Bombyx mori: one gene and its partners. The protein of the gene in region 5 binds, or shares a complex with, the protein of the main gene of each other region. Links are inferred from orthologs where the notes say so. Each region holds a gene or a part of one and is shown on either strand. Other genes may lie near its edges.

Region 1 (7,496 bases), on a different chromosome or scaffold from region 5:
TTGTAAGTTTTCAGTATAGTTACAACTGCTGCCCCACCCTTCAAACCGAAACGCATTACTGCTTCACGGTAGAAATAGGCGGGGTTGTGGTACCTACCCGCGCGGACTCACAAGAGGTCCTACCACCAGTTAAAAGTACAGAAGCACTCACATTAATGGTCCTCTCCAGCTTGCCGGTGTTGGCGCAGAAGGCGTACAGCACGAGGTCCTCCCCGGCGCAGTACACCAGCCTCCCGCGCGCACTCAGCGCCGCCGACACCAGCGCGCCGCCCTCCTCCTCGCGCCTCCCGCTCGAGAACGACCTCACGATTTGCCCTTGCATGTTCATTATCGCCACGGTATTCGTCCGGTTGCACACCACGAAATGGTCCGGGTTCTTCGGGGTGAGGAGTAGGGTGTTGACCGGGGGCTCCCCGCTGCCGAGGGGCTTGAGCGTGGCCGTGCACTCGCCCGAGCGGACGGCCCACACCTTCACGGTCCCGTCGGACGAGCCGCTGAGCACCGCGTGCCCGTCCAGCGTGAACACCGCCTCGTTCACGAACGAAGTGTGACCTCGGAACTCCTTCAAGACTTTACCAGATTTTAGGCCGTGGATTCTGTGAAATATTGTACCGCTATTGTAAATACGAATGCTACTGAGCAAGATGTGAGGGGCAGGTAGCTCTCGGAGTCAACAATAATATTAGGTCCTTAGATGTGAAATTAGTGTTTTGTCTGATCTGAAATATCTCTTCTTTGGTTAAGAACTACAAATTCAAATTTACAAATTGATTTAGCTGGTACATTTGAATTTTGAAAACAGTCCTTCATTGGTTTTTTCCTCTTTATTTTTTCCTTTGGCGTCGCTTATTACCACACAACAGAAAACATGAAATATCGGTATATTTACGAGTACGCAGTGCTGCAGAAACAGCTCGAAGGATTAATGATGTGTCCGGCGCTGGAGTCGCAAAAGAAAGCGCGGTACGTTTTTGATTTCAACGTTTTCGTTCTAGAAATTTCGACTTTCAGAACCAGCCCCGTGGACGGTTGGAGACCAAAGTGGAAAATGAAGAATTAAAGGCTATTGTGGAAACAGATCCATCACAAAGCACTTCAGAGATAGCTGCAGGCTTCGGAGTCAGTGATAAAGCTGTATTAATCAATTTGAAGCAAATCGGGTAAGTAAAAAAACTTGGATGATGGGTACCTCATGAATTGGGTAAATGGAACTTGCAAACGCGCGTCGACTGCTGTTTTACTTTGCTCGACCGACACAATAATGAAGAAATTTTAAATCGAATCAACTTGTGATGAAAAGTGGATACTGTACGATAATCGGAAGCGCTCGTCGCAATGGTTGAACCCTGGAGATCCAACCAAATCCTGCCCTATATGAAAATTGAGATGTCAGTATCTGTATCAGTAAGACGTTTAGCAGCTGAGTGCAGTGGTAGATCATCGACGCCTCCCGTACACTTTAAGGTTTAACTTTATAAATAAATACCTTATGGTCCGATCAAAGGAGGCCGAGAGGATCTGAGTGTTGTCTCGGGTGAACTGCAGGCAGGTCACGCCCTTAGAGTGAGCTCGGTCCAGTTTGCGTTGCACTTTACCCGTTGACACTTTCCAGACCTGTTCACAGAGAATTTTATTGAGTAATTATGTTGAATTTACTTAATGACCCATGTGTTGAACAAAGGATACAATGAAACTATCTTGAACGACCAAAAAATTTCATGTTCAAAGTTCAATGCAGCCCGGGGAAGGGGTGGCGAAGGGGTGGAGAAGGGGTGGAGAAGAGGAGGGAAGGGGAGGAGAAGGTCTCTTAACTTCACATTACATTGCGGTTGCACGATATGTTCAACAAAAAGTATATAATCATCTTAGGAAATATATATTGCTTTCCGTTTTGTCTGTTACCACCTAATGATGCCCAGGTGAATTCTGAGCTCATTAGGTCATATACATAGCATTATATAATTATATATTAGGGAGCAATAATAACTCACTTTTTACACGGAAGCAGTAATGAAAAGGTTAACTAGCATGAGGTTTTAAAACATTTATTACCTTAATTTTTCCATCATTAGACCCAGCAGCCAATGTGTCGCTATCCCTCGCAAAAGCCAGGCTCAGCACCGCCTCTTCCATGCACATGTACTCATCATGAGCCTGATAACGCAAATCCTTACGGATTTTTCCTGTTGTAAAGTTCCAAACTTCAACGACGCCATCTACGGAGCCCGTCACTAAATATTGTCCATCAGGAGAAAATCGCGCGCACTCCACGTGGGACTTCTGACCGAATTTGATGATCTTGGACAGTTGGGTGGGGCAGAGATCGTCTTCTTGGTCTCTTATTGCGGCTTTACCACGGAACAAATCTATAGTGGTGCCGGGAGGGAGCAGACCCTGGTGCTGTTGCCATTTGAGGGCCTGGCCCAGTAGTGCCAGCAGACGGGACGACGGTACGACGGACACCTCCCCGGCGAGGGACGCTGCGATGGCAGCGCGGCGCCGCTCCTTGCCTCCTCCACTGCCGTATGCCTCACGAGGATCGAAATATGAACGTGCTAACAGGTTTTCTGTCATATGAAGATAAACATTCAGACACATACAGATTTAACTATGGATTAAAACAATTGGAAATGTGTATAAAAATTGCTTAAACTAAACATGTTTTTATTGCCTCTATTTAGATCAGCTTAGGACCACCCATCTGGTCACATTAATGGACATCAACAATGCCAAAGGCATAGCCAAGTTGCTACAGCAGTAGTATTATTTACTTTAATTGTATTGCATTTATTTACTATTGTATTGCAATAAGTTTTATTTTAAATATTATATCTTTTTATATTATATTATTCATATTCATTAGCATTCTAAGATACAAATCTGATTTAAAGACTGGATGTATTTTTAGCCAAATACATATACTAAAATTTTGACTCACCAAGATGCATATACCGATCTGTTTCATGCTGCTTCATCAACAGACAAGGATGTGTCTGACGTAGCAAGGATCTCGCAGCACCCAATTCTCGCAGTTCTATCAACTCCAATACAACCTGCTCATATAACTCCATCAACTTTTTGTCAGGAAGCTTGAGTGAAGCAGTAGCTTTAAGTACTGTGTCCCAGTGGCCATTGTTAATATCTGCGCAGAAACCGTCCACGCTGTCTACTGTATTTAGAGTCACTCCAGTTTCCTCCTATATATTAAAAATCATTTACTTTCAAAATTCAGAGAGATGACATCTGAATCAGATGTACAGTTACGGCTTTTTATTGCATAAAATGGTGAACAAGCTCATTGCCAACTAAGTGTTGAGTCTTTAGTTGAGACATATCAACACTGCCATCCTTCTAACTTGAAACTTCAGGTATAAATTTCAGTGTTATACATAGTATTACAGCTGTCACATCTATCAAACCTGTACACATGGCTGCTCTATTGAAAAATAGGCAGGAACTTATAGGTACCATTGGGGGGTCACAAGACACCCTAACAGTAGTGAACAACATGCATACATCTCATATAATTTGGTCATTACAACTACTAATCTTGGAAGTTAAAGCTTCAGTGGCACAGGAATGGTATCAATATTTAAAAAAAATTCACAACCCCAAATTGTTCAATATGGGTGGATCTTACTAAAAGTTGCATGCTGTCTGAAGTTAAAAAAGCCGTATGTAACATTAATCCTAGCCAGTGTCAAAGCTTAAGAGTTTATCAATAATAAGTTGGTATTCTTTTCTGACTTGATACAATTGAAGTTCTCATAAATGTACACAAAATTCATTAATATAAGTGAATAATTAAGTAAAATAAGTGCAATCTGTAAAGTTTAAAAAATTTACACTAATTCTATTCATTAAAAAATATGTTTAATTAAATATCAACAGAATTAACCTGCAAAGTCTGCAATGTTTTGGTTAAATTTGACTCCTTCAAGTATTGTTGTATCAGTCTGATAACACTGCAATTGAAATAAAAATATATTTTAGGCACTAAATTAAATATTTGATGAATAATTTCAAGTAATTTCGTGTTTACATTGATAGTAAACTCACTCGGCTGATTCTATCTCAATGGACATTGTGTATAAAACGTCTTTTATACGAAGTTACCACAGAAAACTTGCTACGCGAATTTGAAGGTTTATATTTTTACATATATAATAAACAATGTCACAAAATTAATGTCTAAAATTTTATTGAAAATAAAATCACACAGAAGGAAATAAACACAATTCAAGTTCAGCGCCATAGATTAGCTACAAGCCATACATAGATTGCCCACCATAGAGTTACTATTACAACCTTACTCCATGTTGCCCACATAACATTTAATTTTATGACTACAAACTAAACGTGAAGTGTATGGTCAATGCCTCCTATGCTACCAATAGGCCTTAATTATTATGTTTAATATGCATTACGCATTTTATCCTGCCTAGTAGCTTGCGATGTACGCATAGTACATTTTATCCTGGAAATTGGACCCACGACTCTTTGACCCGAAATAACGGGTTAAGACTGAGGGCGACTGTATATTGTCCGGTCATCAGGATCGTTCTTTTTTTAATGCTTAGATGAGTGGACGAGCTTACAGCTGGTGTTATGTGGTTACTGGAGCACATACACATCTACAACGTTAATTCCGCCACCCACCTTGAGATGTAAGTTATAAGGTCTCTGTTAGATACGAGGGATACACGAGTGAAACACTTGCCTGCTGTTAACACACTGCCCTATATTTGTTGAAATACCCCGTATGCGTAGGCACACGCACACATACTTAACAGTCTCAGTATTACAACGGCTGCCCGACCCTTCAAACCGAACCGCATTACTACTTCACGGCAGAAATAGGTAGGGTAGTGGTACCTACCCGTGCGGTAGGTACTCACAAGTCTACTCACTACTCACAAGGATACTCACAAGACTTTCTACCACCACTAATTACGCCACTTCCGAAGCTCCTGATCCTGCGGTCTAGAGTCGCCGATGAATTAGCGACATCTTCCCAGCTCACTCCAGTAATAACTAGTATCATCGCCGAAGAGAGCTAGAAGGGTCTCTGACGACTGGCGTGTATTATTAAAATATATACTGAACTGAGTAACGGGGAAAGAATGGAGCTTCGCGCTCGTTGACGAGAATGCTTTTCGCGGTGACAAAGTCCCAGAAGGGTTTACGGAGCAGGTGCGAACTTCTCTGCCGGGCAAATTACTGTCAAATATAACGGTAGGCAGCAGCTTGACTCAGCCCCTAGCATTGCTGAAGTCCATGGGCGATGGTAGCCACTCACCATCAGGTGGGCCGTAAGCTCGTCTGCCTATAGGACAATCACAATTTATAGATAGGTATATGACTAATTCCCATTTATCCATCTGCCTTCTATCATCTTTCATCTTCTGGTATCCATAAAACTAGCCGTCCGCATATTAAATGTTATGACGAAAAGGTGCCAGCGTTTTATCTACGAATATTTCAAAGCAATTAAGACTTGAATCTCACGACTCGAGTTTGATGCCGTTTACGAGCACGATAGATTTGGGTTTCCATGAAGTTCCTCAACACCAGGTAACCAAGGACCCTAAGGTCGTGAGCTAGACTGCCCTTTCACGACAAAAGAGATGAGTATATTGATAACAGATGCAAGTAACGCCAGTGAGCCATCTCGCGGCAAGTGAGGCATGAACTTATTTAAGGTGTTTTTTGAGGTACTTGTAAAAAAACAATTAAAAATTAAAGTATGTAGTTTGTTTGCTAAAGCCACATAGTAATGGTCTCTTTTGAGGTTTCGCAATAATTGCAAAATTTTTCAACTTCAAAACCAATGGAATATTTTCGATTTGAGAAGTGTAGTTTTACCAGACTTCAACGAGGATGTTCTCACTTTGGTATATTAGTCGTTTTCTAGGCCAAGTACGCCATTAACTTTGTGATTTTTTTAACTCTCTGGGCATACAAAACAAGAAACAATAAATGCATGAACAATCCATGTAATATCAGTCTTCTTAAAAACTATACTTAATACATGTTTATTAAAATTTTATTAATTAAACTATATTAAAAAAAAAAAGATTAAAAATACAATCTTCAGAAACACTATATAAATAGATTGCCACTGATGGCAGTGTCTACGACACAAGTCACCAGTGGTTCAGGCTCCAGAGTGTGAAACCTCCTCACAATACGTGCCGTATCAAGTATAACTGCTTTCTGTACCAGGACCCTACCTAACCCAGCTGGAAAACGAAAGTTCTTTATGGTGTTGGTCGAAACTTTTCGCTATCAGATCGTGTACCGACACAACTACTGGAACAAAATGGTTGAATCAACATAGCACATGGCGGTAGTCTCATGCGTCAAGTCTAAATATCCATAATACATTTATTATCATGGCTGTTTCATTTCATGGTATTGGTTGACACCAAACAAATAACCTTGAGTTATCCCCACTTAGTGGTCAGAACTGAGAGGATGACTGATTTGATTAGATGGAATTAGGATAACTGGGGTTTTAATTTCAGGCTGGGCAACCCTTCCTGCAGTCAGCTGACCAACTACAGTCATATTTACATGTTTCCGAATACTACATAATGAAACTGCACGACAGTCGACTCATTGTACGTCTTTTTCTTTAGTAGTTCTTCATCCATCTATCAACCAAGATATCTAAGTGATTTTCAAGAGATTAAGCACATACAAGTTCCGAACAGAATATTGTGCTTCATAATCTGTATGTGCTGAAAATCGTTTCAACACTTTTACTATAGTAGAATTATTTTGTCCGTGCAGTTTGGGTCATAAAACATAGCCCGGCTAGGGCGGTGAGCATGTTGCGCGGGCGCAACGCCATTATCGATAAAAACAAATGAGTCATCGAAGGCAGGTACACGGCGGCGGGGTGGGATACGAAGGGTGGTGAGACATTGTTATGTTATGAGTCATTTGTACTTAACTTGCAAATGATAGTACATTATGTCGAAAAGGAATGTGTTTTTCTGCATTCGTTCTCTGAATTTGTTTAGTGACACAATGGCTACTCCTTTGTTTTGTATCAAACGGCAGAATTTATTCAAAATAATATTTGCACGTGTTGTTATCCACAACGTGTTAAAAATTTTCACTGAAATAAGAATAGATCCCGAAAAGTTACAAAGTGTTAATTTCTGCCGTCCTCGTTAACTTGCTGCGGTGATATGTGGTGTAAGTGTTCGATTAGTGATTTTTTCTTTCATTTTTTCACTAACCCACAAAATAAAAAAACTAAATACACTATCGATAACGCTTATCGACAACAATAATGCGCATCACTATACCCGTCCATAAGGCTCGTGAGTGGAAGAGAGAGCGAAATACTCGCTTCACCGCTTCGATTTTTTATGACCCAAACTGCACGGACAAAATAATTCTACTATAGTTTTATGTGTATGCAACAGAATCCATTAATGTCATTTCCACTAACTCCAAGACGTCTGAATAACTTATAAATTTCT
Region 2 (6,711 bases), on a different chromosome or scaffold from region 5:
ACTATAAAGTGTGTAATCATTTTTGAGCTGACTTACCTACGAATAATAAAACGATTTTTTTACAATAAAGTCGATATATGAAAATATCGATATTTTTTTCCGATATAAATTGATATATATAAAAATAGGTGAATGAAGTTAGCCCCTCAAAAAATTTTTTTTTTCCTATTTTATACTTATTCTCTATTAATTCGTTTGTTCATCATTTGTTCATGATTGTTGACTGTTAATAATTGTTTGTTCTGCATTTATTTATTTAAAAAAAATATTTAAAAATATACCTACAAGTTAGCCCCTCTAATGCAATTTTCTAATATTTTTTCATCCTTAATGACTCGTAAATATTCATTTTCGATTGTTCTTATATAAAACACGTTTGTTCTCTTTCGAAATTACTCGTTTTTTGTTTAATTTACTATTTTTATTAGTTGAATAAATGTATGCAAAATATGTGTACTGCGCATGCGTCAACTATAATGCCTAAACTTACGCGGTTTTAATCGTGAAAAAAAAAACAAATATAAATCCTGAAGGAGCAATTAATTGGTATACAGTTTAATTAAAAAAAATTAAAAATAAATAAATGAAATAATGTGCATTGGCGTTAAGTTAGACCAAATACATTTTTTCCATCCTCCTACTTATCGTTATGAAGGTAAGTAAATATAGGTTTACATTTTAATAACTTTTTTACACAGTCGAAATTATATTCCTAACATTAGTAAAATAACATTTTAATACGATAGGTAAGAGGATGGAAAAAATGTATTTGGTCTAACTTAACGCCAATGCACATTACTTCATTTATTTATTTTTTTAATTAAACTGTATACCAATTAATTGCTCCTTCAGGATTTATATTTGTTTTTTTTTTCACGATTAAAACCGCGTAGAAAGTTTAGGCATTATAGTTGACGCATGCGCAGTACACATATTTTGCATACATTTATTCAACTAATAAAAATAGTAAATTAAACAAAAAACGAGTAATTTCGAAAGAGAACAAACATGTTTTATATAAGAACAATCGAAAATGAATATTTACGAGTCATTAACGATGAAAAAATATTAAAAATTGCATTAGAGGGGCTAACTTGTAGGTATATTTTTAAATATTTTTTTTAAATAAATAAATGCAGAACAAACAATTATTAACAGTCAACAATCATGAACAAATGATGAACAAACGAATTAATAGAGAATAAGTATAAAATAGGAAAAAAAAATTTTTTTGAGGGGCTAACTTCATTCACCTTATAAAAATTTCGATATATCGAAATTTTTTTTTCAGGGATTTTATAACCTGTTAACTAAGACTTTTAAGTCATATCTTATTTTAATTTATATTCATATTTTTATGAAAAATTATATTATGGAGTGAAATGAAATGAAGATGATTAATTTGAGACATTAATCAACTGGGATGAAATTAAATGAAATGAAATGAGATGATATGGGATGAAATATAATCTGAGTAAAATGGTGGTCACTTACTAAGATTTTTTCAGTGGACTTTTTTGAGGATCCCGAGAAATTACGTCCAACGGCTTTGTTTCATTTTCCCACATTTGTGCACTTTCACAGATATTAAACAGTTAATAAACCACCATTATTACACATTTAAACCCGAAGAAACACAAAATAAAACAAATCACACAACTTCACGCCTCGCGTTCCCGCCAAAAAGTATTATATAAAATTCTTTTTTTAAGGTATTTTATGACCTGGTGACTAAGACCTTTAAGTCATGTCTTATTTTAATTTATAGATTTGGGCGAGATCGTTATCTTAGCCCAGACTCAACAGAAACGACTTAGAGTAGAGAGATGAGCGCTCTTTTAACGCCCAGCCAACTGATTTTGTTGTTGAATTGTTTATTGTCCTCGAAAAGTCAGTCAGTCAAAGTAGTCACGTGCGATTTACATATCCCAAAATCCCAAATCCCAAAAACTAAAGTTGATGTGAGTTTTGACATATACAGGACTACTGGAGTCAGTGAAAAGCTTTCATCTAGCACATGAAAAACATGCCCTCATACCAAGTCCGGTAGTGGACATTGTAGCCTTATAATTTATATTTTTTAATTGGAAAAAGCATTTGGAACATGTTACATTTACATGGTGTCGTTTTTTCTAGCCTTTTCCAAATAAATATGGTAATATTATCCTGTCTGCTAAATCAAAGTTCATAATTATACCTTGATAAAACAAGGTCAGGGCAAATAGAATTATTAGCCAAATAATAATTAAAACATTCAATGAAACATTATTGTACCACACAGTATTTATTAATATAAGCTTTACATTTTAAAACATATCATTTTTTAGATCCTCCAAAGCCAGAAAACCCCATAATTTGTGCTAATTCAGAAGGTGCTGGTGTATCATCTATTTCATCATTCTCCATTAACTTCCGTTTCTTGTCCCGACGTCTCTCCCTACGTAGCTCTTTCACACGAGCTTCTTCTTCAGCGGCTTCCTTTAATCTTGTGTCTAATTCATATTCACGCTTTTTCTCTTCCAACTTTCGTTTATTGAGTGCAAATCTTGCTTTTACCTGGAACCAAACAAATATAATGTAGTAGTAGTAGCTATGATAGAATAGAATAAATATTATTAAAACCTGAATGGTATTTATAAAATTGAGAACAGCTAGATGAGTTAGATAGATTATTTCAAATTAGTGGTCTAGAAATTTAAATCATCTATTTGGTTGAACATTTTACATTTATTATTCCTTAACAATAGCATTAGAACTTGATAAAATTAAGATTGAAAGAATTTGTTGAGAATTATTTTAATATTGAGTGCTCTAGTTGAGTGGGATGGTAGGTTTGCTCAACTCAGGCAATCACAAAAATAATAGCGTTGGTTCATGATGTTTGTTATTATTTTGATGCAACAGTGGCCAATTGATGATCTCAGACCATAAATCTAGTAGCAAGTCAACAATCCTATTTACCTGCTTGGTACTATGCATATACATACATGTGAAAAAGTAAGCTCACCTGATCTAAGCTGCTCCTTTCTATTTTCATGGACATTCCCAGATTCCTCTGATGTTTTTTACCATTGATGTGATCAAGGAAATTTATTGAATCTTTAACAACACAGTCACAAACATTACAATAATATCCTCCAGATTGGGACGTTGGCGTATTCTTATTGATTACTACACTCTTCCCGAGTCTCGAGTCCAAATCTACTTTATATTCACGTTGTTTGAGAAGTTCACGTTTGACTGGAGTGGCTGGAAAATGAAAATTAAACAAACATTTATATATTGTGTCAAATTTGTATTTTAACGTAACAAAGTGTGTTGACACAAATATTTTACCTTTCTTCTTGGATTTTTCTTCTTCTTCTAGCTCTGCTTTCAAACGCTCGGCTGCAATTTTCTCGAATTCCTCTTTGTCCCATTTTCTTCGGTGGTCATCGGGGCGCATACTCATGTTTAAATTTTATAGTATTTATTTCACAACAATTACAAGTTATGATTTTCTTACACACTCCACTTGTTTGTTTTATATTAAACGTGTACCCAGAGGGAAGAGTAATCAATTAGATCTATTAAAAAAATAACACGAGAAAATCATCCTTAACAACACAAACGAAATGTTTCTAATTGACAACTAGCAGTGACAAAACTGACAAATGATTAGTTGTAGTATTTCCATTTTCTAACAAGAAAGGCGAAAGCATATATATATTATACAGCCTAATCTTTTATATATTCAGTTACATGAAAATTAATATAATAGGTTGGGGAAAAAGTTTCTTCGCATTTTTTAAGAAAATTAACAAATTTTTTTAATAGTTTATTTACATTTAACTTAAGTATGTAGGTATCATTTTGTTCGATAGCTTTTTGCCATTTTGTAAATAGGGACATGATCCCATTGCTATAAAAAATTTGGGGCTTCTGATCAAAATACCGAGACAATTGGTTTTGGCAGTCCTCTCGTGATGTTAATCTGACACTGCCTAAAGAATTCTGAAGAACCGAAACAGGTGGAAACCTGAAGGTGCAAGGTCAGGACGGATATACGGATAAACAGCGGATGCATTAACATCTTCCAGTCAAGCTCTCTTAATTTTTGCTGAATGGCTAAAGATGTGTAAGGTCACATTGTTATCATGATGAAAAGCCACACTCCTTCTGTTGATTAATTCTGGCCACTTTCTCTCAACTTCTTCCTTTAATCTCATCAGTTGTTCGCAGTAGAGTTCAGAATCAATGGTCTTGCCTGGTGGTAACAGCTCATAATGAATAATGTCCTTCCAATTCCACTACACAAACAGCATCACCTTGTTGCAAGTTAACCCAGGTTTTGCCACAGTCTGTGAAGCCTGACGGACCTTTGACCACGACTTTTTTCGTACGTTCTTGTCGTGCGTGATCCACTTTTCATCACCAGTTATCAGCTTCTTCAAACATGGTTCGGTTTCATTACGTCGTAATAAAGAATCACAAATGAGTACACGGTTCATTAGGTTTCTTTCAGTGAGCTCGTGAGGTACCCAAATATCGAACTTTTTTGTGTATCTATTTTTTTTCAAATGAGCCAAAGCTGTTTTGTAGTCAATTCCCAGTTCTTCAGCTACGTCGTAACTACTGATATGCCGATCTTGCTTTACTTTTTCAAAAAGATGCGATCAGTCACTTTCACTTTTTCAAAAAGATTCGATTAGAGCGACGTACAAATTCTTAAAATAAAAATTTCGTATTGAAAACGCTTAAACCAATTTTGTGCTACTTTCACAGACACAGCACTAGGTCCATAAACATCGCAATTTTTTTTCGCGGCCTACGTTGCATTTTTACCTTTTTTGTAGTAAACTTTTTAAATGTATCGATTTTCTTCATTAGATTCCCTAATCTTGACAGTACGAAAAACAAATAAAAATCACACATTTTCTTAATTTGAATTTGGAATTGTCTTTTTTAAAATTTTAAACCTTTAATTATTCCAAAACCAGCCAGATACAAATAGTATAACCAAAGAGATTTTATTACAAGTTCATACATACCTACCTACTATAATGAGAAAAGACTTTTCCCCATACTATTATAAAAATGATATAGATATAAAAAGAGTTGAAGATGATTTATTTGAGGCTGTAATCGATTGGGGTGAAATGAGATGAGATGGGATGATATAACGTTTTAGTAAAATGGTGGTTATTTACAGAAACTTTAGTGGACTTTTTGGAAGAACCCGAAAAGCCACTTCCAGTGACTGTTTTTTTATTTATTTCTTTTGTATTGCCTTTGTGGGCAGACGAGCATATGGCCTACCTGAGTGGTTACCGTCGCCTATGGACTTCAGCTATGCCAGAGGCAGAGTCAAGACGCTGCCTACCGCTAAGTAGGGTAGACTAACAGCCTGGCCACGGGACATTCGCCGATGCGAATATTCGCGCGGTGCGAACGGCGAAGCGTCTAGCGACTAAAACAAGCGCATAGAAATGTACCTAACAAGCCACGCGCACCGGCGACCGGCGAAGCGACCGGCGAAATGTACCGAGCGAATCGCGCGATGCGGCGGGCGAGCAAAACAAATGCATGAATACGGACGGCGCGAGCCACGGAGTCGAGCGGTAGTCGCGGCGAATAGTGCAGTGATTAAATGAGTTTAGTTGTTTTCGCCGCGAAAAATTAACGCCGAAATTTTTATATTTTTTATTTATTTTTTATTTTATAATTTTAAAGTCGTCGTGGCCTAACGGACGTCCGGTGCAATCGTGTTGAGCGATGCACCGGTGTTCGAATATCAGGCGGGTACCAATTTTTGTAATGAAATACGTACTCAACAACACTCAACGTTCACGATTAATTTCCACGGTGAAGGAATAACATCGTGTGATAAAAATGAAATCTTCAAAATAATAATTTGCGTAATTACTGGTGGTAGGACCTCTTGTGAGTCTACACGGGTGGGTACTACCACCCTGCCTATTTCTGCCGTGAAGTAGTAATGCGTTTCGGTTTGAAGGGTGAGGCAGCCATTATAACTATACTTGAGACCTTAGAACTTATATCTCAAGGTGGGTGGCGCATTTACGTTGTGGATGTCTATGGGCTCCAGTAACCACTTAACACAAGGTGGGCTGTGAGCTCGTCCACCCATCTAAGCAATAAAAAAATAAAATAGCTGAAATACTAGCTAGACCAGCTATTTGGAAGTCTAGCCACCCAAAGTATTTCTCGTACTTCTTGTGGAATTCTCCATCTATAGGTATACTCCGATTCTTATTCAAATCATGTACTTCACAATCTTTTCCAAATAATAGGTCCTGAACCAAAAAACTATTAATTTGTAAGCAATATCGAGATAATTTCGATATAGACATTTCGCTGTCGGACTTCCTTACTAGTCGCGGCGGCGAACGTGAGTACCCGTGGCCTGCAAACGGTGCTGCGCGAATGGTCGCCTCGCCCACCGCTTCGCTGTTCGCACCGCCGATCCCCGTGGCCAGGCCGTAAGACGTGTTTTGGGCGACGTCGACTGTTTTCCATTCTGTCCGCAGGATCGGGAAGGTTTTTTTTTGTTTTTTTTTTGTTTATTAGAGTATTGTATAAATGTATTGTATATTAAAAATATAGATAAATAATAGTAATAAGCGGTTTGACTTATATTCATATTTTTTTAAAACTTGTTGGTATAGCTACGTTCTCCTAGTTGACCTGCTTGGTGGCCAAAAAAATTAG
Region 3 (5,814 bases), on a different chromosome or scaffold from region 5:
ATCAAAGATTATAAATTTCATTTTCGTCTAAGGTACAATATCTCATCACTGTCGGCAGTGTCGGCACCCTGTTCGGGAAATGACCTCGGAGGATTTACTAGGCAACTTCTATCGTTACAAACTTTATATAGCCAGACTTTAAAGCCACGACGATAAAAGATTTTAACTTTATTTGTATCTGGGTACAGTGCTGAAACTTGTGTGAAAGCGTGATATCGCGTAGCTTTGTATTAATTCACTTGTAGTATGTATCTGTTATAACTATGTATAATTTCATGGTACCAAATTAGTCGATTATTAAATAATCTTTCTTTCTTTTCTTTTTTTTTGGCTCCAGCATGGTTTGTGCATTAGCCAGTGTCAAGTAATAAGATTTTTATAATTTGTCGTTTTAATTATTTACAGTTTATGAATAACAAAAAACGAAGGAAACTGTCCATGTTGGCTATTATTAATATCAGTGTAAGTATCAATTAAATTAGCAACGTGGGACGATAAAGATAAATTAGGTTGAGAAAGTAATTTGATTAATGTAGTAATTGACTCTGAAAATGATAATATGGAATGAAATGAAATGAAACGAAATTGATTAATATTATGAAACATGGCATGAAATGAAATGAAATGAGATGAGATGATATGGAATGAAAATATAATCTCGATAAAATGGTGGTCATTTACTCAGACTTTCTCAGTGGACTTGTAGAGGATCCCTAGAAGTTGTTTCATTTTCCCATATTTGTGCACTTTCACAGATACTAAGCAGTTATTAAACCACCGTTATTACACATTTAAACAAAAAAACACTAAATAGACAAAATAAAACAAATCACACAACTTTACTCCTCGCGTTCCCGCCAAAAAACCCTAAAATTAATAATGATAATAACTGGAAACAAATAACGCAGTCATCCAGCCCCAATTTAAGATTCCTTGTATTATGGATACCAGACTAAAACAAATGAACAGAATTCAAGTCACTCCACTTGGAGACACGCCCCAGTTTTCTTCACTTCAGACACAAGTTTTGATCGCCTCTCTTGTACCACGCTTCGAGAGAGACTGATGGCCGAGATATCACGCATCCCCCATGCTATCATCCTCATAGCAATGCATGCCATCAATAGATAGCATCTCATTGATAGAGTAGATGCCCATTATTATTAAAAGAAATCAAAATAACATGCGAATTCTCAAACTATACTGAGACCTTAGAACATATATCTCAAGATGGGTGGCGCATTTACGCTGAAGATGTCTATGGGCTCCAGTAACCACTTAACACCAGGTGGGCTGTGGGCTCGTCCACCCATCTACGCAATAAAAAATATATATAATCTTCATGACAATTAAATTTTCAAACTCATGGCTCAAAGTGGTAATACATATAATGGTAGTAATTTCTCAGCACCAGGTAGCTCGTGAGCTTGGCTACCCGTGTATTATAATAAAACTCATCTCCCACACTGCAAATTGTAAACGTTAACAAAACAAAATTTTACTTCATTTAATGTACAATTTATATACAAAACAATGCCCTATCTTAATTATTATGCTCTTTGGCAGTTTCAAAAGTGCTTTAAATCACTCTTAGCTTCCAATCCCGACCACGTAATTAAACGGAATTTCAAAGACCGGACTTCTTTGTCTATGACCTCCGAGGTTCATATCCTGAAAAATCTTCCGCAAGTTCCAATTTCAAATATGCAATACGTGTGTATCACGGGTGGTTTTTTTTAAACGGTAAAGGAGTCACGCGGTCGGTCTCATCATTCTGTCTCTTTCTTCCACGAAGCAATCACTCAATTTGAAAGATAAGACAACAGTATTAAAAATCAAGCCCGCAAAATTATAATTTTCGTAATTACTGGTGGTAGGAACTCTTGTGAGTCCGCGCGGGTAGGTACCACCACCCTGCTTATTTCTGCCGTGAAGCAGTAATGCGTTTCGGTTTGAAGGGTGGGGCAACCGTTGTAACTATACTTGAGACCTTAGAACTTATATCTCAAGGTGGGTGGCGCATTTACGCTGTAGATGTCTATAGGCTCCAGTAACCACTAAACACCAGGTGGGCTGTGAGCTTGTCCATCCATCTAAGCAATAAAAAAAATAAAAAAAAAATATCGAGACTTTGACCTTTTGCGTATCGATATATATGTGAGATCTAGAAACCTCTTAATAGCACTCACCTATAGCAATGAAAAAAACAAGAAAATTTAAATAAATAAAATATTTTTTTTGGGATCAAACAGTTTTATTGGCATATTTATAATTTTTTCAAGTCATTCGACGAATAATAAAAGTAATACGCTATCACGGTATGGATGTGTTCATGAAAGTCAAGTAAAAAAATAGAAATTAATCTAAAAGGGACCAAATTTTTCACAGGAAAATCGGAATTAATTCATTGTTTTTGAACATTCACGCTATCTTGATACATGACATTTGTGACGTCACAACACTGAATCAATAACGTAAGCAATATTTTGCATAGTCACTTGTGCAAACTTCAGAGAATCATCCAAATGCGACGCGCCATTACCATCTCGTTTTAAATTTAAATAACACGTAACAATTGGTTCAAGTTGGTCCAATTTCTTCAACAATAGCTTAATCAGTTTGAATGTCTATGAAAACAAGATTCAGTTATAAGTGAGACTCTGATACTTTTCTTAGTGACGTCACGAGTCGGTCACCTATTTTGGTTGCGATTTTGGTCGTATCAAAAAAACGTCTTTACTAAACGGGTACACCACAGAAACCACGTGATTAATAACGATGACAGCCTAAACAGTTCACGCCTTCCCTGATCAACATTGATTGGCATCCAGAGCTACCGTATTAAAACGCCTTACTGATGACAAGGTCAACGTCCCCTTAACAAGTTTGACAGGTGTCAAACATTGTGCTTCCTCTTCGCCGAAGGTTTCTCGAATACTTGTTTCATTCCCCCGCGGAAGTTAGTCAGTCTGGCTGCTGAGGTTTCATTGCTCCAAGCGGAATCGAACTCCGTAGTGTCTTGATCGACCAAATGTGTGTACTTCGTACGACCGGAACGTCCAAACTTCTTGACTTGCATAACCTAAAACAAATATAGGATAGGAATAGTTAATGCACTGTTAAAATAAAGGTAAACAAGAAAAAAAATACTGTTTAATAAAGAGAGTTATTGATGTCTATGGGCTCCGGTAATCACTTAACATCAGGTGGGCCGTGAGCTCGTCCACCCACCTATTCAATATATTTTTTTTATTGCTTAGATAGGTGGACGAGCTCACAGCCCATCTGGTGTTAAGTGGTTACTGGAGCCCATAGACATCTAGAACGTAAATGCGCCACCCACCTTCAGATATAAGTTCTAAGGTCTCAAGTATAGTTACAACGGCTGCCCCACCCTTCAAACCGAAACGCATTACTGCTTCACGGCAGAAATAGGCAGGGTGGTGGTACCCACCCGCGCGGACTCACCTACCACCAGTAAAATTACAATTTATGGTAGTACTCGATAGCCAGCCTTCGAGATTTACGTTACCGTATGTCGATAAATTATGAAAGTTTCGAGTTCCTAGAACGTGACGATTCGATTGGGAAGTAGTACGGAAGTATGTAAATTCATTCGTGTTGCTGAAATTAATTCTTTTTACGGACGGTAGGGGCACTATTTAAATCCTATACATTTTTTCTGGATAGCGATATGAATACATACTTTTTCGATAGTCATTCGTGCTCGCCCCTAGATCCCCAAGTCACTCACTCGCTCGCTCGGTACTATATAGTTACTGAAGACCACAAACTTGAATATCGCGACCCATATTGAGTAATATAGCCACATTTGAATTTAACACGTTTCTATTAGCTCGACTTGTATCTATTTATACAACGCAATATTTCAACTGTAATTTTCATCCGATTAGCAATTTTAATTTGAATACGTACTTAGCAAGGACCAATAAAATAATTTTATTATTTCCATCGTACCCTGATTAGAAAAATCAGACCGAAAAAAATATTGTATTTTTTTGATCCGTATAGTTTACACTACTTTTACTTATTTTACTCTTGAAACTTATAGAAAATTTATACCTTTGGTAAAACTGTCTTGTCAAAATGATCATCCAGCGTAGGACCCGAGAAGTCCTGTTTGAAAACATCTTCTTCTTTATCCAAATAAAAGGCACCTCTAAAATTAGAAAATATAATCGTTATTAATTTTAATAGTTTTCACACTAAGCAAGTTTTTATGCTTCAAATTTTATGGTTAATAACTTTAATAATTTTCTTATTAAGCAAAATTATTTTTAATACAATTTTTAAAGTATGAATTTTACCTGTGATAATATTTCTGCAGAAACTTGTATTTTCCTTTGACTGCTTTATTTGTGACAACCTTTGGATTGATACGTTGTTCGAGGCGTCGCTCATCTTCGGTCATGTTGCGTAATCGTTCCAGAGTTAACATCTCTTTTTCGGCTCTGAAATAAAAATGAAAATGTTACACTGACTAAAAATCGACGGCCACTAAAATACATTAAAAATGTTTAATACTGACTAAAACTTTAGTCTCTTTAATATAACATTATTCGTTGTGAAACTTTAACATAGTTAATTTTATTAAAATTCCGAGACTGAATTCTTTAATCGTGCGATCTAAAAAATAAATTGTGATTTCAAATAACAATCACTGATAGAAAATCATTATCAGCTGCAGTCCTGACACGGGATTGACTAAATACATCAGCTGCAGTCTGAGATAATTTAGGCCAGAATAACATCTACGTGGATAAAATCTTAGCATATCTCAGCCTATCAGCATAACATCTACTTCACACAATCAAAACCCAAAACGTGGAACTCATATTTGAAATATGAGACGACTATTAATTTTAAAACAGAGTGAAGCATAAGTCTTGTACTAACTACATATGAGTCGTCTATTATCAAAGGCGGCAATCTGTACATTTGGACAAAAAATTTTTATTGATATGTCAATACAGATTTATTTGAATATAATCGTCTCCTTCAAAGAATACGGTTCAAAACCTGCATTAAATAAAGGTTAATAGTTAACCTGTTATTTATCTAAGATGTCGTTCCGAAGAGTTTTGTGACTGCCAATGGAATACAAAGTCAATAATTCGTTTTTCTGATTTACCAATCATTGTCCAAAAGTCAGATTGCCGGCTTTGATAATAGTCGACTCATATATACCATGGGTTAATAATAATACTCGGCAAATCTAAGGACCTCAGATTCTCACTTAGTAACTTAGCTTTTATTGCTCTAGCCAGGCACACTAGCTCTACCTACTGTAATGTTCAGAGAATACTGCTTCCCATCTTACAGTATATCTCTTAAAGGCCTTTGACGACATTGCGTATTGATGGTGAATACTGTTCTACCGTATAGCAGATACAGTTGAATTAACCTACAGTGTGCGCGCGAGTTCGTGTCCATCGGGGCCAGAGGTGACGCGCGGGGGGCAGCTCGCCCCGCCTCCGTCCGCCTCCCCGCGTTTGTCTGACGTTTAGTGTTGTCTTTGACAGTTGTGACGCGCGCTTATCGATATCAAAAATTTACGCTAACGCTATTGTGTTATTTCATGGTGAATAAACTACGACTACTTCGCTTCCAACAAGTTCAGGTAGAAAAAAACCTACACTGATTCGGACTCTGATCTGTCGGTTATCTTTTCATCTGATAGTAATTGAATTGGAATTTAAAAAATATTTTTCTCTATTAGAAATAAATAAGTAATTACTTACCACATTTATTTTATAATTTGCAAAATGACCTAGTTACAATAAACCAAATTGA
Region 4 (4,030 bases), on a different chromosome or scaffold from region 5:
TGAATTGATTTTTATGAAATCAATTTGTTTTAGTTGTGTTGCTCTTAATCTAGAATATGATTACAAATTACGAATTCAAGTAATAGTAGTATTCAAACAGTAGAAAAACTGCAGAAAATACAACTACAGCTTCCTGAGCAGTTGTTTTTGTTGAGTTTATATCAAAATTATCACTATAAATGCATTTATAAAATCTATGACAGCCGCACATATGTAATTAAGTACGAACTAGCTTTTTTTTAAATATTTTATGACCTGGTAACTAAGACCTTTAAGTTCTGTCTTATTTTATTTATATTTTTATGAAAAATGATAATATGGAGTGAAATGAAATGAAATGAAGATGATTAATTTGAGACATTAATCAACTGGGATGAAATTAAATGAAATGAGACAGTATGATATGGGATGAAATATAATCTTAGTAAAATGGTGCTTATTTACTGAGACTTTTCAGTGGACTTTTTGGAGGATCCCGAGAAGCTATGTCCAGCAGTTTTGTCTAATTTTCCCACATTTGTACACTTGCACAGATACTAAACAGTTAATATCGTTTTTACACATCGTTATTACACATTTAAGCCTGAAGAAACACTAAATAGACAAATTAAAACAATTCACACAACTTCACTCTGTACGTATGTACATGTTGCATGAGGCCTCATAAAATTTATGCCAATAATGATATGCCCTAATAAGATTTACTTGAGCTTGAGTTCCTTGGGCTCCTCTTTTTTAATTCTTAGTTCATATATAATACGGTTATCCACGAGATTCCATCCACATATAAAAGCAGTCCACGACCGTGCCGCGTTTATTCTCGGCAGACTCTACCCCATGATCTGTAAGCGGAGTAAAATGTCCTTTCGGAACCAGGTGACTCTGTGTAGTCCTTGTAAGGATCCATTAGATACCTCGCAATAACCCTCGCATAAGACGCCTTTCGCTCTAACACTAGGAGTAGAGACCCCGGTAACCGTGCAATCTAACATAAGCATCAGCCCGTTGAGTATCTCGCCGGATCTTCTCAGCGGGTCGCGATTCCGATCCGGTAGTAGATTCATTCGCGAAGCAGCTACTGTTGAGTTGCTAGGTCTCCCTTGAAGGCGCTCGGGTAGCTGTTAGCAAATCCCGCCTCTTCTGGCTCGCCCACCTGTCCTTGTGAAACTGGAAAGGCCTCCGGGCCACTAGTAAACCCTCAATCATAAAAAAAGAAGATAATACGGTTTAGTTGGTGAACTATCTCAGGGCCCACCTAGAATAAAGTTGCCAGCTTAAACAAAAACCAATGTAAGTGCCACTATTCAGCTTGAAACATGAGGTCAGTTTGAATGGTGTAGTGCCCGTCTCGAAGCAGTATTCTACGACTGCTTTGCAACCGAATTAAGCATGATGGTTAGTATCTATCGATTTGGACTTAATAAGATACCCTACTACACTTAATAAATGTGAGTTGGCGGTCACAATTGTTCATATTCCACTGTTTTGTTCCAAAAATACAGGTTTCCGATTATTTTTATTTATGATCCATCTTATCACTAAAGTTAAAAAGAATACAGTGGAAGTTGAACTCTGTGGCTATGAGTGTCCGTGAAATATAATATAGCGTTACCGTAGCAAACTTTTAAAGAAAATGCAAAAAAGACTGCTTTGCTTTACATTGAGAAATACATTTACAAAATTAAATTAAGATTTAATATAGAATTTTGACGCATCACTACTTTCTTCCATCTACATAGGAATAATATTTTTATTCGTCAGCTCTATTAAAGTTGACTTAAAATTTTACTCTAGTTTTTTGGAATAACTAATTACCCGTAGTCTTGGCTTTTTTAGTTTTTAGTTTTTTAGTTTAGGGCTTTTTTAGTTTCGCCGGGTGTGTAGGCTTCAGAGACTTTTATAACATCTGTGTGCTCAATGCGAGTTTTTTTAAGTTCTGGAGTTAGAACAGTTTCCCTTGGTTTGCCGCTAGGGGCGCTGTTCCAATTCGTACAAATTTGAGTTAACTTTTACGTGATAGAGAAGTTAAAAAACTCGCACTAAACACACTGCGCTAAAAAGAACAGTGCCTTTCTGAAGCTAACATCTGATCGGAATCGCGACCGTCTAAGATCCAGTGCGAAAATCAGTCGGTTGTGGACATACGTTAGTTATGTTGCACGTCGAACGGTGAATGGTCCTTGGAATGCCTAAAAGCACCGATAATGGATCGGGAGGATCCGTAATGACGTGTTTAGGGCGACGCGGCGACGTCGACCGTTTACCATTCGGTCCACAGGGCCGGGTATGTAATTTCCGGCGGCCACAACAAGAGGGTTTTCTTGTCGTACCGCCTTCTCAAAGGGATGATACGATATGATGCATACATAGTATACGTAATTATGGTAAACGCGTAACTATAATACACACCCATTCATAACATGTGTATCTTAGGGTGTAATAATAGTTTACACAATTAAAATCATAATAGGTAATCTACTTTTTATGGTGGTAGGACCTATTGTGAGTCCGCGCGGGTGGGTACCACCACCTTGCCTATTTCTCCCGTGAAGCAGTAATGCGTTTCGGTTTGAAGGGTGGTGCAGCCGTTGTAACTATACTTGAGACCTTAGAACTTTTATCTCAAGGTGGGTGGCGCATTTACGTTGTAGATGTCTATGGGCTCCAGTAACCACTTAACATCAGGTGGGCTGTGAGCTCGTCCACCGATCTAAGCAATAAAAATAAAATAAAAAATAGAGTCGTTTAGTGCGGTAGGGCCCTAAAATTCCTTGGGCCCGCGGTCTGCTCCCAACACCTTGCAGGTCGTCAAGTCTCACATACCCCGCGCGCCTCCTAGGCGCGGGCACCTCGTAGGAGGTTCGGCCAGGCCCGAAAAAAAAACGGCTTCGGTTAGTCACAGACTAATCTAAGGCCAAGGATACATACAATAACTATTTCAAACATCAATAAGAATACTCTAAAGACAATTTTAATATGATTTTAAGCATTTTATAGATTATTATGGAAGCACATCATTTCTCGCTATTTATCCTATGGTTTGGATATTGTTTTTTATAATGTTTATCCAAAGATCGCGTGGAAAGTCGTTCCTTTAAATCCAACGTTGCCGGTAGGTTCGTCTTGGAAGGTTATGTACATGCTGTAAAAAATATAATTTTTGATTAATTCAAAAAAGATAATGAAAGGAATAATCGTACAATACAAATGCGTTTAATTAGATTCTGTTATGCGGATTCAGGTCCAAGAACTCCGACATGACAAACATGACAAACATGACATACATAAGTACATGTATGTATACATATATGTTTTCGCCACTAAGGAGCCAAAAAGGATGAGCTAACTACAGATCTTATTATTACCACGCATAAAAATAATAGATTAAAAACTGTATAGTAGCAAATCATTTTTTTAAAAAGTGACTAGGAAAAAGCATTTTAACGAAAAAATGCGTGGGATAGTAGACGTCAATTATTGTAAATATGTTATTTTAATGAAATATTGGTAGTACTGATAGTGGTCACTATAAAATCTTAAATCTAAAAACCACCTCACGATTTTTTTTTGTCTTTAACTATGGTCATTTCATAGCAAGGAACAATCGCCGTTTTAGTGCACCATATGTGAAAACAGGTTATTAGGTCGATCTATGATTATTTCATAATCCGATCGGTTCCAGAGAAGGAACCTGAGAAACGGCTATCATAAATCCAAGAGAAGCAGCAGCCGCGTACGCGCCTCTGTACTTGGCACAAGACACTACCGTGTTTTAACCGTCCGTACAGTCTTTAAGCCTAAAAATCTCAATCAAGTTACTAATCGGACAATTTTATTAAATTATTTCATTGTTATCGGTTGTTGAGACTATATAGGTCTATGGTCGTTGATAGGTGTGCGAAGTTTCAAGTCAATCCGACATTTATAAAGTGGGATTTCATTCAAAGAATCTGTTACATACAATGCCAAGCTAATAAAAGATTGTTAAAAATAATTGTAAATAGACATACTTTAACAAAAACCGACTACA
Region 5 (6,554 bases):
CCTGCCTATTTCTGCCGTGAAGCAGTAATGCGTTTCGGTTGGTAGGGTGGGGCAGTCGTTGTAACTATACTTGAGACCTTAGAACTTATATCTCAAGGTGGGTGGCGGCATTTACGTTGTAGATGTCTATGGGCTCCAGTATCCACTTTACAACAGGTGGGCTGTGATCTCGTCCACCCATCTAAGCAATAAAAAATAAAAAAAGACGATTCATTACCGTTACAGCCAGTAACAAAAACTGATTTTGAGATTTGATAACTTACCATGAATTAAAAACCAAACCTGTGTTTATTTCTTTGCATAATTGCTGGTTATAGGAGAATTGTAAGTTCGTACTGGAAGTCACCACCATCCTTACTCCATTTGACTGGGTTTTCCATTATATAGACAAATGCAATTTTAACCCCATGTCACATGTCAGGTGATGATAATTACGTTGTGATCAAAAAAGCAATAATTAGGATATTTTAATTGAATTTCTATGTAATAACTGTTTTGCCAACAGTACTTAAGTATTTGTTTCTTAGTGAATGTTACTTTCTTCGGAAGCGTGAAGATTGCCATTAGCACTAAATTCTAGATTTGACAATCGCCAAAGCTTATAAGTATTATAGAACAAGTAGCTTAATATAAAAAAATCATATATTTTGGATAACTTAAAAATTAATGTTGATGGTAGTTTAAATATGGGTCTGCGGAGGGACTTCGGTTCCCTCTGTATTTTGTACCGAATGTTCCATGGGGAGTGCTCTGAGGAATTGTTCGAGATGATGTTTCCCGAGCGCTATGACATGTCCTTCTTTAAAAGAGGCTTGTGGAGAGTATTAAGCGGTAGGCAGCGGCTTGGCTCTGCCCCTGGCATTGCTGAAGTCCATGGGCGACGGTAACCACTCACCATCAGGTGGGCCGTATGCTCGTCTGCCTACAAGGGCAATAAAAAAAAAATTGTCTGGTTATATTATCTTAGCTGTCTGATATTATTAACAGTTTGGATTTGGATGAAATTGAAACTTTAAACTCTCATGTCTCCAATTAGGCATCAATATTGACATCCTCATTTTTATAATGAGACACCGGTGTGGACGAGTCCAGACATCATAAATTACACACTAGAATAAGAGCCATCTTATTTGTTCTATATGAAAAAGATTCCCTAATTTTTATCCGTGAAAGTTAATCAAAGGAGTCATAATTAGCTTGGAACTGCTTATATGGTACTGGATTTGTTGTATTAAATCAATGTTCTATCTAATAGTACTTATTCAATAATCTAGTAATGTTAAAAATGTTTTTTTTTTAATCATCCGAACCTGTTGTCGTATTTATAATAATTTTATAAATTAAAATAATGTAACTTTTTTAGTTGTATTATTGTGATCCTCTAATGATAAAAATTAAAAAAATATATATTATGTGTTTGATGGTGGTTCATTAGCTATTCAACAACCATTACGTATTAGGTTTTTTATAATTTTAAATTTACAGTCAGATTTCATCTCTTCCCACAGATTACCATAACAGGCAAAGAGACAATATATTTCTAAAACTTCACACAGAAGAGCCCAGTTAATATTGGCTTTATTATGAACTAGCGACCCGCCCTCGCTTCGCTTCGGAAACTGTAATTTATTATTGATTTCTCCACTATTTAATGGATGTTATTATACATATAAACATTCATCTTCAATCGCTCTATCTATTAAAAAAAACCGCATCAAAATCCCTTGCGTAGTTTTAAAGATTTAAGCATACATAGGGACAAAGAAAGCAACTTTGTTTTATACTATGTAGTGATACTACATATGAGACAAAAACAGATACACCCAGAATTTGTATATTCAAACATATTTAACAAAGAGAAGGAACCTGGATTTGGTTGTACAATAGTCAAAGCTGAATTATTAACCATTAAGCTCAGGTGATAAAATATATATTATGGAACATAAAGAGTTGTTGAGTCTCCTAAAAGTATTAAAGGTTTTCTGTGTTCATGATCCTTATTCAAATAAGCTTTAGTGCTTATTGTTACATAGTATGACTAAATAAAAATTACACTTATAATTATTCTAATGTCTTCTATCTCTTCTCCTATCATCATGTCTTTCTCTTCGGTCCTTATCTCTATCTCTTTGACGTTCACGGTCTCTATCCTTCTCTCGTTCACGTTCCTTTTCTCTTTCACGCTCTTTGTCTCTTTCGCGTTCTTTCTCTCTTTCACGTTCCTTTTCCCTTTCACGTTCCTTCTCTCTTTCTCGTTCCTTCTCGCGTTCCCGCTCTTTTTCTCTCTCCCTATCACGTCTTCTATCTCTGCTCCTTGAACGTTCTCTTTTTCTGTCCTTATCACGTCTGTCACGGTCTCTTGATCTGAAATAAAAGATTTTTGTTTATTGTTTTATGTAATATGTTTCTGTTGTGTATCAAGGAGGGTTTATTATTACAATATTTATTAAGCATATACTACAAAAATGGTTGCACAGTATTTATACTGCACTTTGTTTCATAGACCATCAACAATGTACACACTCTTTTCTGAAGTCATACAAGCCTGTTGGAAACACTGATTTTTGAGAATACTAATTAATGCCTTAGAAAGATTTCAAGCAGTCAGTGATAATTGTAACGACTTTTATGATGATGTGGTACCTATCTCTCTTTCTATCCCTGTCCCGTCTATCTTTCTCTCGCTTGTTCTCTTTGGCTTCGGGGTCAATAACTTCATCGTCAGACGGCATTTCTTCATCCATATCATCATCCAGAGCCGAAATTTTGGGCTCGATTTCGTTATTCTGCTCCAAAATATGACGTTTCTGTATCCTCGGCATAATAATATCGCATAATCTCTCTTCGCGCAGTAATTCATCAATAAACTCGTCCATGTGAACTATCTCGTATTGGCCGTCGCGATTTTGCCGCCTTAACTTCCTATTATCGTTGTAAAGTGGCTCCAAATACTTGTAGCAGTCAACAGAGGTACCGGTGAGGCGCATGTAAAAAGCGCCAAGTGCACGTACGTATTTGAACTCTTCATTCTTTATGAACTCAACCACAATATCTTTTTCTGGCTGTATTTGAAGCATTTTTAATACTAAACACAAAAATGGTGTGGGGTAAATGAAACCGCCGTGCACGCCGCCTACATAACGCAATTCCATCGCTTTGTCTACTACCAGCTCTGCAGTTAAAGCGAAACATTCTTCCTTCCAATACTTCGAGTCGTAAATACGAGATCTGATAATTTTTTCTATTAAATACTGAGGATTTGTACCCCGAATTGATTTCGCGTCCTTTACGGTACGATTCGCCATTTTTGTTATGGTTCTTTGACATTTTTGACATTGACTCTTTTTGTTCTCATAACCAACTGTATACGCAAAGGGGTTGTGGCATATTACATAAAAAGTACGGCCTACATAGAAATGTATTCAACAGCAGGCAACGGTTTGGCTATTTTAAGAGCATTGCTAGCGTTCATTAACATCAATAACAACTTTCTAGAAAATGCTGGCTTTTTGAAAGCAACAAATCATTTTATGTTTGATTTATTCGAGATTTTTTCTTTTGTGCTAATGGTATGCTATGGAAGGTAGGCTCCATAAATGGTACGAAAAATAAAGTAAATGGAGGTTTCATTCATAGGAGACATCAGATATAAAGCCCATGAAAGGTATTATGAATAGTAGTATTATTAAACAGAATCGGGCTAATGTTAATCAAAGCTAGGCACATATTTGGCTATTGAATATAGATTGAAGAGTGTTATGAAAATGAATCAGTTATCATTTTATATATTTCTTTATGTACAGTATTCAAAAGGGATCAAAGATTGAAATTTTCAAATTTTAGGACGGCGCATCTTTTAAGAATAAGCCCCGTAAAAAATTACTAACAATTCCATAAAATATGTTAAGCTTCCTTTCAAAAACATTTCTCTCATTTCAAATTAAACTTTTTTATACCAAATGGCTACTAGGCACCAATTACTTGAAAACCTTATTTATTAAAAAGCACGGTACTGAGCACTGTACTCAAGTTGATTGAATAGAATAAAATAGTAAGAAAAAAGATCTACTGTGAAGAACAAAGCACAGATTTTTCCAAATAAATGCACGAGTAATTCTTAAAGTAGAGTAAAATTATTCTCATTATTTTCCATACACCGGTCCTTGACTCAAAACTAAATCAGTGAGTATTTTGTAATATTTTCACATTTAAGTAGAAAGTGAAAGTCCTTACTTTATAACTCATGGCTGGACTAGGTATATATCTATATGAAATAATAAACAAAGCGATTATATCGCCAGAAAGACCAGTCTTAACGATTGCCGTTGACTATCGAATATGACACAGGGCATTTTCTAGTCATAGAAATAATTATTTGAAAATATTTTAATTCTTATTAAGTTTTACTTTTTTTTTTATATTTTGCTATAATAAACTAATATTTTATTGGCTCACTGAATTTGGCCCCTTTCTTTTATTTTCGGATTTTTTTTATTTTTAATTATTTGTTCGTCGTTTGTTCGTTAATGCTCAAATGTAAAAATTGTTTGTTCGTCTGTTGTTTATTAATAATTAATTAAACAAATGATCACCTTTAAGTAGGACCCCCTTACTAGATATTTTTATTTTTAACGTTGAGATTAATTAATTTTGATCAATTATCGTTTGTTTGACGACTATTGGTGATTGTTCGATCATAAAATTTCAAATAATTACATTCCCAATTATTAAGCCTTGTAATATATATCAATCAAGATACTTCTCGATAGTAATAATTACGATAATATAGACGTAAATAAATATTTTTTATAAATAAAATATTTTTTAAAATAAAATCCTGTTTATAGGGTATATGTATACTAAGTTTATTCTTCCATATGAAATGAATTTCTACTAAATGTTCCTGCAATATATTTCTTGAACTTCTAAATAATTATCATTTCAATAAAAACAGATTTTGTGTGCATTAAATTTTCATTTTTTGAACTACGTAATGAATTTAGGAATAATTACATTCCCGATCCTGCGGACAGAATGGAAAGCAGTCGACGTCGCCCAAAACACGTCATCTCGGATCCTCCCGATCCACTAACGGTGCTTTTACGTACTTCAAGCACCGGTCACCGTTCTCGTCGAACCCGTCGCTTGCGACGAAGGGCTCGACGAGTAAATTAACTCTCAGACAGAGCCCACTGAGTTTCTCGCCGGATCTTCTCAGTGGGTCGCGTTTCCGATCCGGTGGTAGATTCTGCGAAGCACGGCCCTTGCTAGGGTTCGTGTTAGCAACGTCATCAGGTTTGAGCCCCGTGAGCTCACCTACTAAAGTTAGGGTTACGCTGAAATAGCCCCTAGGGCTATCAGCTTAAGTAGGAAAAAAAAAAGGAATAATTGGCCGTATTTTTCAAGGTGTGTGGCGCATTTACATTGTAGATGTCTATGGGCTCCAGTAACCATTTAACACCAGGTGGGCTGTGAGCTCGTCCACACATCTAAGCAATAAAAAAAAAAAAATCCCCGATATTTTTTGTTGAAGTTTTGAATATTTTTTTGGTCTGCATAAGGAATAATTAGACAGTATAAACGCACTTGTTAACAAAACGCTAGAAAATACGCCCATTGCCAACTGACTGACAAAACCGGCGCATGCGCAATGTAGGCGTGAGGTGATGGTTTGCTTATTAGATATAAAATAATTAATAATTAGGAATTCAATTGTTTTTAAGATCGAACAATCACCAATATTCGTTGAACTAACGATAATTGATTAAAATTAATTGATCTGAGCGATAAAAATAAAGATATCTTCTAGTAAGGGGAGCCAACTTAAGGGTAATCATTTGTTTACTCAATTATAAATAAATAAAAGACGAACTAACAATTTTTACATTCAAACATTAACGAACAAACGACGAACAAATCATTAAAAATAAAAATAAAACCGAAAATCAAAAAAAGGAGGCCAATTTCAGTGAGCCTATTTTATTGTCTACTTTTTTTTTTCTACCTAAGCTGATAGCCTTGAGAGGCTATTCCAGCGTAACCTTAACTAGAAGGTGAGCTCATGGGGCACAAACCTGACGACGTTGCTTACACGAACCCTAGCAAGAGCCATGCTTCGCAGAATCTACCACCGGATCGGAAACGCAACCCACTGAGAAGATCCGGCGAGAAACTCAGTGGGCTGCATTGTCTACTTTTTTTTTTTTTTTTTCCTACCTAAGCTGATAGCCCTAGCGGCTATGTCAGCGTAACCCTAACTTTAGTAGGTGAGCTCACGGGGCTCAAACCTGACGATGTTGCTAACACGAACCCTAGCAAGAGCCGTGCTTCGCAGAATCTACCACCGGATCGGAAACGCGACCCACTGAGAAGATCCGGCGAGAAACTCAGTGGGCTGTGTCTGAGAGTTAATTTACTCGTCGAGCCCTTCGTCGCAAGCTACGGGTTCGACGAGAACGGTGACCGGTGCTTGAAGTACCTAAAAGCACCGTTAGTGGATCAGGAGGATCCGAGATGACGTGTTTTGGGCGACGTCGACTGCTTTCCATTCTGTC

What was found.
Region 1: pre-mRNA-splicing factor 38 (region 5) and WD40 repeat-containing protein SMU1 share a complex: the UniProt entries of both Homo sapiens proteins name them as parts of the spliceosome B complex. The link is inferred for Bombyx mori from reciprocal best matches to the Homo sapiens genes PRPF38A and SMU1.
Region 2: pre-mRNA-splicing factor 38 (region 5) and zinc finger matrin-type protein 2 share a complex: the UniProt entries of both Homo sapiens proteins name them as parts of the spliceosome B complex. The link is inferred for Bombyx mori from reciprocal best matches to the Homo sapiens genes PRPF38A and ZMAT2.
Region 3: the proteins of pre-mRNA-splicing factor 38 (region 5) and microfibrillar-associated protein 1 are in contact, whole or in part, in a crystal structure (PDB 5F5S), measured with the Homo sapiens proteins. The link is inferred for Bombyx mori from reciprocal best matches to the Homo sapiens genes PRPF38A and MFAP1. Residues at the interface, in NP_116253.2 of Homo sapiens: Tyr124, Asn125, Tyr127, Lys129, His143, Asp145, Glu146, Asp149, His153, Tyr169, Val170, Glu172; in NP_005917.2 of Homo sapiens: Glu275, Tyr276, Trp279, Arg282, Glu283, Arg286, Arg289, Asp290, Arg294, Leu297, Glu298, Lys301.
Region 4: pre-mRNA-splicing factor 38 (region 5) and protein Red share a complex: the UniProt entries of both Homo sapiens proteins name them as parts of the spliceosome B complex. The link is inferred for Bombyx mori from reciprocal best matches to the Homo sapiens genes PRPF38A and IK.

What each region holds. Positions count from the first base shown.
Region 1 is NC_085112.1:940,986-948,481, reverse strand, and holds the start of WD40 repeat-containing protein SMU1, read right to left. Parts: upstream 4,287-7,496; 5' UTR 4,086-4,286; coding exon 4,060-4,085; exon of another isoform or gene 4,043-4,059; intron 3,966-4,042; coding exon 3,899-3,965; intron 3,198-3,898; coding exon 2,939-3,197; intron 2,568-2,938; coding exon 2,053-2,567; intron 1,615-2,052; coding exon 1,487-1,614; intron 597-1,486; coding exon 152-596; intron 1-151. UniProt on the Homo sapiens protein: Involved in pre-mRNA splicing as a component of the spliceosome. Regulates alternative splicing of the HSPG2 pre-mRNA. Required for normal accumulation of IK.
Region 2 is NC_085128.1:9,736,269-9,742,979, forward strand, and holds zinc finger matrin-type protein 2, read right to left. Parts: upstream 3,655-6,711; 5' UTR 3,452-3,654; coding exon 3,337-3,451; intron 3,250-3,336; coding exon 3,008-3,249; intron 2,557-3,007; coding exon 2,317-2,556; 3' UTR 2,266-2,316; downstream 1-2,265. UniProt on the Homo sapiens protein: Involved in pre-mRNA splicing as a component of the spliceosome.
Region 3 is NC_085127.1:8,416,679-8,422,492, forward strand, and holds the end of microfibrillar-associated protein 1, read right to left. Parts: intron 4,473-5,814; coding exon 4,329-4,472; intron 4,181-4,328; coding exon 4,084-4,180; intron 3,083-4,083; coding exon 2,897-3,082; 3' UTR 2,233-2,896; downstream 1-2,232. UniProt on the Homo sapiens protein: Involved in pre-mRNA splicing as a component of the spliceosome.
Region 4 is NC_085122.1:6,714,218-6,718,247, reverse strand, and holds the start of protein Red, read right to left. Parts: upstream 2,801-4,030; 5' UTR 1-2,800. Other genes in the region: Mif (macrophage migration inhibitory factor), read right to left, coding at 3,064-3,142. UniProt on the Homo sapiens protein: Involved in pre-mRNA splicing as a component of the spliceosome. Auxiliary spliceosomal protein that regulates selection of alternative splice sites in a small set of target pre-mRNA species. Required for normal mitotic cell cycle progression.
Region 5 is NC_085134.1:4,005,899-4,012,452, forward strand, and holds pre-mRNA-splicing factor 38, read right to left. Parts: upstream 3,337-6,554; 5' UTR 3,306-3,336; coding exon 2,644-3,305; intron 2,365-2,643; coding exon 2,067-2,364; 3' UTR 1,819-2,066; downstream 1-1,818. UniProt on the Homo sapiens protein: Involved in pre-mRNA splicing as a component of the spliceosome.